Linked DNA regions of Nothobranchius furzeri. The protein of the gene in region 1 purifies or fractionates together with the protein of each later gene. This does not show direct contact. Links are inferred from orthologs where the notes say so. Each region holds a gene or a part of one and is shown in the gene's direction. Other genes may lie near its edges. The genes, in order: wdr82 and setd1ba.

Evidence for each region.
Region 2: the proteins of wdr82 (region 1) and setd1ba purify together in Homo sapiens (affinity purification with western blotting; 4 studies listed by BioGRID, with this or other methods). This does not show direct contact. The link is inferred for Nothobranchius furzeri from reciprocal best matches to the Homo sapiens genes WDR82 and SETD1B.

What each region holds. Positions count from the first base shown.
Region 1 is NC_091743.1:64,676,613-64,680,930, forward strand, and holds the start of wdr82 (WD repeat-containing protein 82), read left to right. Parts: upstream 1-1,412; 5' UTR 1,413-1,608; coding exon 1,609-1,769; intron 1,770-2,316; coding exon 2,317-2,414; intron 2,415-2,808; coding exon 2,809-2,875; intron 2,876-3,009; coding exon 3,010-3,109; intron 3,110-3,258; coding exon 3,259-3,375; intron 3,376-4,318. Other genes in the region: glyctk (glycerate kinase), read right to left, coding at 9-364. UniProt on the Homo sapiens protein: Regulatory component of the SET1/COMPASS complex implicated in the tethering of this complex to transcriptional start sites of active genes.
Region 2 is NC_091746.1:52,004,189-52,007,592, forward strand, and holds the end of setd1ba (histone-lysine N-methyltransferase SETD1B-A), read left to right. Parts: intron 1-638; coding exon 639-776; intron 777-868; coding exon 869-1,042; 3' UTR 1,043-2,802; downstream 2,803-3,404. UniProt on the Homo sapiens protein: Histone methyltransferase that catalyzes methyl group transfer from S-adenosyl-L-methionine to the epsilon-amino group of 'Lys-4' of histone H3 (H3K4) via a non-processive mechanism.

The sequences.
Region 1 (4,318 bases):
TTCCTTACCTTTTCCCGTGCTGCCGTAACGTCTGCTGAATCCCATGAGGCACACTTATGACGCCATTCACTAAATGATCACCCACGATCCTCTCTACCTCCGCAGCCATTCCCAGAACAGCTTTTCCAAAGCCCACCAAGTGCAGGTTGTGTTTGAGTGTGAATCTGCGACCGTCAATAAGAACTGAATCTTCCGTGCGCTCTATGCTCTTCCTGATTACAGTGTCTGGCTGCACAGCTTCCACTGCCGCTGCAAAGACCTTCCGGGCCCGTGAGTCCATTGACATTTTGCAGAATGTAGGTTTTGGCCGGCCCACGAGGGCCAGAATAGGCTGAGGCCGGATCAGGGAAAGGACGCGGGCCATTGATGGATCAATGGGTCTGAGAAATTCATGAATCAGGACAAAGAATGACAATAAAAAACCTTTAACATGTGAAGACATTTGAAATTTATTACATGCCTCAAAGAAACTTGGAATTAGTACACCAACAATTCCTCGTTGTACAAAAACGAAAGAAAGGAGGTGTGGAAAAACCTCTGCATCTAATTTTATCCTCATCCATGTGCATAATATCTTGCTTTTGAAAAGCAACCATAAAAATACTAATCCAATAACTAAAACTTGTATATTTGTTATCAACATTCTACTTTTGCAAACTTTCACTCCAATATTGAGCTCTCTGAGATTCCTTAAGACTGCCTACCTGTGTGGGTCGTGAATGGTGGCATTTAATGCCTGCAAATTCCAGTGGAATCCCGTCGTGTGTGTTCTAGCTCAGCAGTGGAACAAATATCTGGCCCGACAATGATTGGTGTTGTTTAAACTCTGTTTAATGATTAACTTTAACGGATCATAGACCATGCTAAAGTGCTCTTCATCCAGTTGAGACATATTATTTTACTTGAACACGTGTGAATCAAATTAAATTAAGTTTAAAAGGCAAGTTACCCCCAAATCAACTTTTTTTTCTTCTGATAAACTAAACTAGTGTCTAATTGTGTAGACGTGCATAGTCAATATTTTGGCACTTTAAAGCATCTTAGTTAAAATTGAAATAATTTGCCTAAAACTGTCAATGTTGACAGTTTTGTTGCCAAATACCTGAAATGTTTCTATCCATGGAGTCAAAATTCCTGCTGGAACTTTCTTCGTTACCTCTGCGTTCATGTTCGAACATCAAAATTCCACACTTACTATTATAAAAAATACGTATTAAACGTCAAAAACACAATAACTGTCTTGTGTTTAAATCGGAACACTCTGAAATTTCAAAGTAAGATCAGCTAAAAACGCGAAAGATTTGATTATTCACGCTGTTCTTCACTGTGTTTCTGCTGTTTGTATTGGTGGTAATTCTCGCGATAACACGCTGTCTCGTCACGTGTTTTTTCACCCGTGTCAGGTGACTTCCGTTATAGAGCGACGGACATTGCGTTTCCCTTCCCTTCTGTGTTACAGGCGGGATTTTGTCGTTGTTTCTGATTTGAGTTCTCGATAATTGTGACTTGTAGTGTAACTGTTGCTCACATATCCACACGAATTTCCTCAAGTTTACTTTCCAAATCAAGTTCAAAGAGAACGAGGGCCTATTTCCCCTCAAGACAACCATGAAGCTAACGGACAATGTGCTACGGAGCTTCAGGGTTGCTAAAGTATTTCGTGAGAACTCAGACAAAATTAATTGCTTCGATTTCAGTTCGAACGGAGAAACTATTATTTCCAGCAGCGACGATGACTCTATAGTGTTGTACGACTGCCAGGAAGGAAAGTAAGGGCGATTTCTGCTGAGTTTACTTTTTGGAATTAGCTTCATGCTAAGCTAACACCGAGGCCTGTCGCACTGCGTAGGACTCAGCGGTCAAATAAAAATACGCGTTTGAATTACGCTAGAGTAATAATTATGTGGTTATCTGATTGGTAAAATATACCCGTAAATAAAACCCAACATGTTAAAATTTTTTGTAATAGTTAGCTTGAGTGATGGTGTAAAGAGGGCAGAAATTTGAATTGTTAAGTTTTATAAAACTTATTTTACAGCATCATCAGTAATTTTGAATCTAAACGAGTATTCACATGAGCATGTGCGAGCATTATTTCATATTTAGCTCCAATACAATTATGTGGATACATTATTTTTAAGGTAAATGAGAGAAAACCAAATGTGTAGAAGATTTGGATTAGCATGTAATCAGATTTAAAACAAGAACGGCAGAATATAGAACTTTAACAAAATAGCAGTTGGTTAGTTTTATTTGTTCTGATTAAAATTCTTGATGTTAGTCTGATCACGTTTTGTTTGTTCTGATTAATTACAGGCCCAAGAGGACTCTGTATAGTAAAAAGTATGGAGTAGATCTGATCAGGTACACACATGCTGCAAACACTGTGGTCTACAGTTCCAACAAAATTGATGGTATGTAAACTAATGTCATTTCCATAATTACATTCATTCAACTGTGAATGGGGATGAATACTTTTCTTGGTCTGTAAGGGTTTGTTTTTTTTAGCCACAGCATCATGATCTGTTGTATTGACTGAACTCTACAGGATGTTTCTCCACCTCCAGCTTCTCCATCACAGCTCATCATGCTGCTCACTGTAGTCTGAGGTAGTTGTTTGTACAGTTTGAGGGTCTGTGATTCTGCCCCATACAGGAGCTAACTGTACAAGTGACTGCCTTGCCCACGGTTGAGTGTACTCATCACATGTTGATGCTGGTGGATTCGTTTTAATCATTTACTCCCGCTGCAGGTCTTACATGTTTATTGACTGACACGAGTTTAATGATGTGTCTCTTTTCCTACAAGACACCATCAGGTACCTGTCTCTTCATGACAACAAATACATCCGCTATTTTCCTGGACACAACAAGAGGTGAGGGCTGAGTAACTATTTCTGTATCTGTTTACTGTTTTATTTTTGTAAGTTTTTGTTTTCCTTTAAAATGTTTCAGGTTTAAAGTTTTTACTCGTCATGTTTTGTTCTGTGGTTGTGTTTGTTGTGACCAGGGTGACTTCTCTCTCCATGTCTCCTGTGGATGACACATTTATTTCTGGCTCATTAGATAAAACCATCCGACTGTGGGATCTGCGGTCGCCTAACTGCCAAGTAAGGGTCCAATTTCAAGCAGTCAAAAGTGCCAGCTAAAATGTTTCACATTTATGATAACAGCTTTTCATTTGGTGCGCTGTCCTTGCTGATTCACTCGTCAAATGAAAAAACTGATTTTGACCTTTGCTATTATTTGTCTCTTTTAGGGACTGATGCACCTGCAGGGAAAGCCGGTGTGCTCTTTTGATCCAGAGGGTCTCATTTTTGCTGCAGGAATAAATTCAGAAATGGTTAAACTCTATGATCTGCGGTCATTTGATAAAGTAAGAATTGCTTTTGTCTTTTTTTGTTTTTTTTTTATACAGGTGCTTTAAATCCTAGAACAGATTTAAATTTTGAATGAATGAAACCTTTAACAGTCTGGATCAAGGCTTCTCAGGTCTGCTCCGCGTGTTTTAGCTGCTCCAACACACCCGATTCAATGGTTGAATCTCCTCATCATCGTGTCCTCAAAGTTTTTGGAAGTCTGTTAATCACCCATTGATGCAAACCAGGTGTGTTAGTGCAGGAAAACAGAAAACATGCAGGTAGTGGCTCTTTGATTGCAAAGCGCAGGTTTAGAAAATACAAGAAAAAAATCAGATGGAAAAATGCTGCTCACACACACACACACACGCACGCGTGGAGAAACAGAAACTAAAATAAACAATGGTGCATACAGACAAATATTACACCTGGAGCCCTTTAAATCTTCTGCACAATTATAATCGATGTATTATCAATGTCATGTGATAAACTAAACAACCGTGATGATGTTTATTTTTTTTAAGCTGTATTTTATTTGAACTTATTAAAACACAGCAGGTTAAAGACACACAAGACTAGAGCTGGGCATTGATACAAATTTCAAGAATCTATTTAATTCCGATTCTCAAGAGTTAGAATAGATTGTTACGATCTGATCTGACTCAGTCTGTTCCAGTTTGATATCGATATGGGTCAAGAAAACAAATACATGCTGGCAGTGGGCTTGGTGACAACACTTATTAAACTTAACATAGATAATTAAATAAATTCTTAGTGTTTGTAATGTTACAGCAAACACATGAAACCTGTGTTATGGGTCAGGAAACGTTATAGCGATCATTACAAGCAGCTAATTAGCCTAAAGAGGCAACCATCCCTCTTCTTCATTGTGTTTTCTTTAATGATGTTCATCTTCCTCGTACTGCCATGGAAGGTGGGTTTACTTAGCAGATTTTGCAC
Region 2 (3,404 bases), on another chromosome or scaffold:
GCTGTTAGATTAAGGTGTTAAAAAGACAAACGTATAGCGGGGAGATGAGTTTCCACCACAGAGAATAACGGACACTAGGGGGTGCTAAAAGCAAGTAAAACTGCCAAATGTGCCTTTAAGGAGAAGAACTTTAATATTTGGGTGCAGGTGACTAAAGCCCCTTCCACACTAGGGTCGGCTCCACTCCGTGCAGTCAGCTCCAGCCTGACTGGGCTGATTACACACATCCTTCCATACGTCCTTAGGAACGCAGACGTGACCAAGCAGATGGCCGGTCTCCAAAAGTGGCGCAAAACATCAGTGATGTCATGAGCGCATCTCTGAGCACGTGGACGGGCCAAAAGATGTGCGTAGAAGTCCGTAGGCGGAGTGGAGCCGGTGCTAGTGAGGGAGCCCTGTTATTGAGATTTGGTTTTCAGGCCTGATACAGGTTTTATATCATTGTGCAGCTCCGACCTGCTGATGCTGACTTATCTCAGAGAACAATTTACAGAATCTGTTGAAAAAACTTTGTTGACATGAACACATCCACACCCCTAACCTTTCTAGAACTTCTAATTTAGGCTGATTCAGATTTTTTATGCATGTCTAATCCAAAGCCATCCACGACTTGACGTGCCACACTTTGCTCTCTGCAGGTGATCGCTGACATGCGGGAGAAGCGCTACGAAGAGGAGGGCATCGGTAGCAGCTACATGTTCCGGGTGGACCACGACACCATAATCGACGCCACAAAATGCGGCAACTTTGCCCGTTTCATCAACCACAGCTGCAACGTAAGGCTGATCCCCACCTGCATTAATGCAGCTGAGAGAATTTTTGCTTTCATAACTGGAATCCATAAACAATCACCCCTCTTTCCTCACAGCCCAACTGTTATGCTAAAGTCATCACAGTGGAGTCCCAGAAGAAGATCGTGATCTACTCCAGGCAGCCGATCAATGTGAACGAGGAGATCACGTATGACTACAAGTTCCCCATCGAGGACGAGAAGATCCCATGTTTGTGTGGAGCAGAGAACTGCAGAGGGACGCTCAACTAGCATCCATCTTCAGGTCAAAGACCTCTAATGGGCTGTGAGAAGGCTGGTCGTAGACTCGGACTAGGAGGAGGACAACCCAGCAAGTCACCCCCATCGAGCTAAGCTGCCTGAACGACGCTCTTCTTTCACTAAAACTCTGATTGTTTACAATTCATGGTGCTCTTAAAACAGACTTTTTTTTTCTCTTTGTTTAAACCCTCGACTTGTCGGTGGAGTGTTTTCCCCTCCCTTGGTGTCGGACAGTATTTCAGCACATCTCCTTAAGTCATTCTCCACACGTTCTTTACAGTTCCCTCATATGCCTCATATGCTTTACCCACAGCACACATGGTACAAAACTAAAGCACCGCTCAGATGCACAACATTTCTTCTTCTGCAGGTTGGAGGACAGCGGAATGGCTCGCTGCTCCCTCTGCTGCACCGCTTTTCCTGAAGTCGAATCAAACTCAAATGATTGAAAGCAACAAATCATTTCTGTCCAATAATGTCTTCTTCCACCAGCCAAGAACGGATCGTGCTGCTTCCTGTTTGTTTATGCAACAAGTTTGGAAAAAGACCTGCAAAATTTTCGTTAATCGTAATTGTTTAGCTGGTTTGTTTCTGTAAAGACACTGTGTGTGTGTGTGTGTGTGTGTGTGTGTGTGTGTGTGTGTGTGTGTGTGTGTGTGTGTGTGTGGGTGTGGGTGCGCGGTGCGTGCTTCATTCAGAGTATCTCTTTCGCTGTTTTGAGGGCACTGCCCCCTGGTGGCCACCCAGCAGAACTAACCTAGTGCAGAAAAATACAAAATCACTGAACAAGCTCAACTATGCCCCCCAGCTTTGAGCGAAAGTTATTTTTCATTTTGCGTGCCATACAGATGTGTTAAACCTGATGTTGCTGCTGTTTTGGCTTCACTCATATTCCCTCCTCTGTTTAACGTTCCCAGCGGCGTCAGAGGCTCCTACACCTCCCCGCTCACTCATTATTTACTATTTATCAGGATTTTAAAAAGTTCTGGAGGTCTGGCACTTCTGCTTCTCAAGTCCAAGTCAGTTGTTGCTTTTTTTTTCCCCCTTTCGTTTGTTTGGGTTAAAAAAGCTGGTTTTTGTTGAGTTTTCCAACACTGGTGTTCATATTGTAAATGAAAACTTGTACAGAAGATTTTTTATCTTCACAAACAAAACACTTTTAAGATGCGTCTTTCTTTCTCTTTTTATTTAAAAAAAACACAAAGACTGAATATTTAAAATATTTTCAGGGTTCTGTGAACAGAATCGGTTGGTTTAGAGGTTGTTTATTTAAAGAGAAAAAGGTCCAGCATGTGTACAGGAAAAAAGTCTCCACTTCCCTTTTGGAAAGATTGTTTCTTGTAGAAACGTCTTCATTTTTCTGTCTGTTTACTTTGAGATGCTAAAATGTGTAAGTATCTAACTGTGAATATTATATAAATATAAATATATATATATATATTTGTTTCTCGGGATGCGCTACTTGAACACGGCTCAGACGTCTATGTATCATAATGAGGAGAGCTCTGAGCTGGTAGCAGAAAAATCAGCTTGTGTCAAGCTCCTTTGTTTTTTAAACTTTGTGTTGTAAATTCTATGAAAAGGTTTTTTGCGGTGTGGAGAATTCAAATAAATAAAAAAAGAAGGTGCAGAATCGGCACTGGAAAGAGGACTGAAGCCTCAGCCGGTTTCTTGTGTCTATTTATTATATGACAAATGTATGACAGAGGAAAAGAACTGAAATAAAGAAGTTTTGCATACATCCTTAAAAAGGTGGTTGTTTGTTTATTAGCTGTAGAGCAGGACAGGTTCTGATCGGATCCCAAACTGTCACACTTTTGCTGCATTTTCTTAAAAAGCAGCAGGGCAGTCATTACATATTTTATTAAAAAGCTTTTATTTGAAATAAGCACTCACTCGTCACATAACATAAATCCTCCTGATCATTTTTTTTACACAAGCGGAATCAGGAAATGTATTGACACAACTACAAAAAAACACTTCATAAGTTTAAATCATGCTTTTAAAGAATAAACACTTTTTAATGTGCAAAAATAAGATCTATTTAGAATGGTTAATTGATTCCAAATACTTAATATTTTAGTACTTCCCTGTGTTTAATGTGAGTTTAGGTTTGTAAAAAGTTATGGGATAATCAGGGCTCTAGAGGAGTTTTAGGGGATGAAAACTGAAGTTTGAAATTTGATTTTGACTAAATATGCCAGAAGATATTTATTCAGCTGTAAATAGAAACAGAACTAAAACCATTTGTTGTGTTTCAGAATAAAGAAGCTCATAAAAACACTCAACAAAAATATAAACGCAACACCTTTGTTTCTGCTCCGATTTTTCATGAGATGCCACATCAAGCATC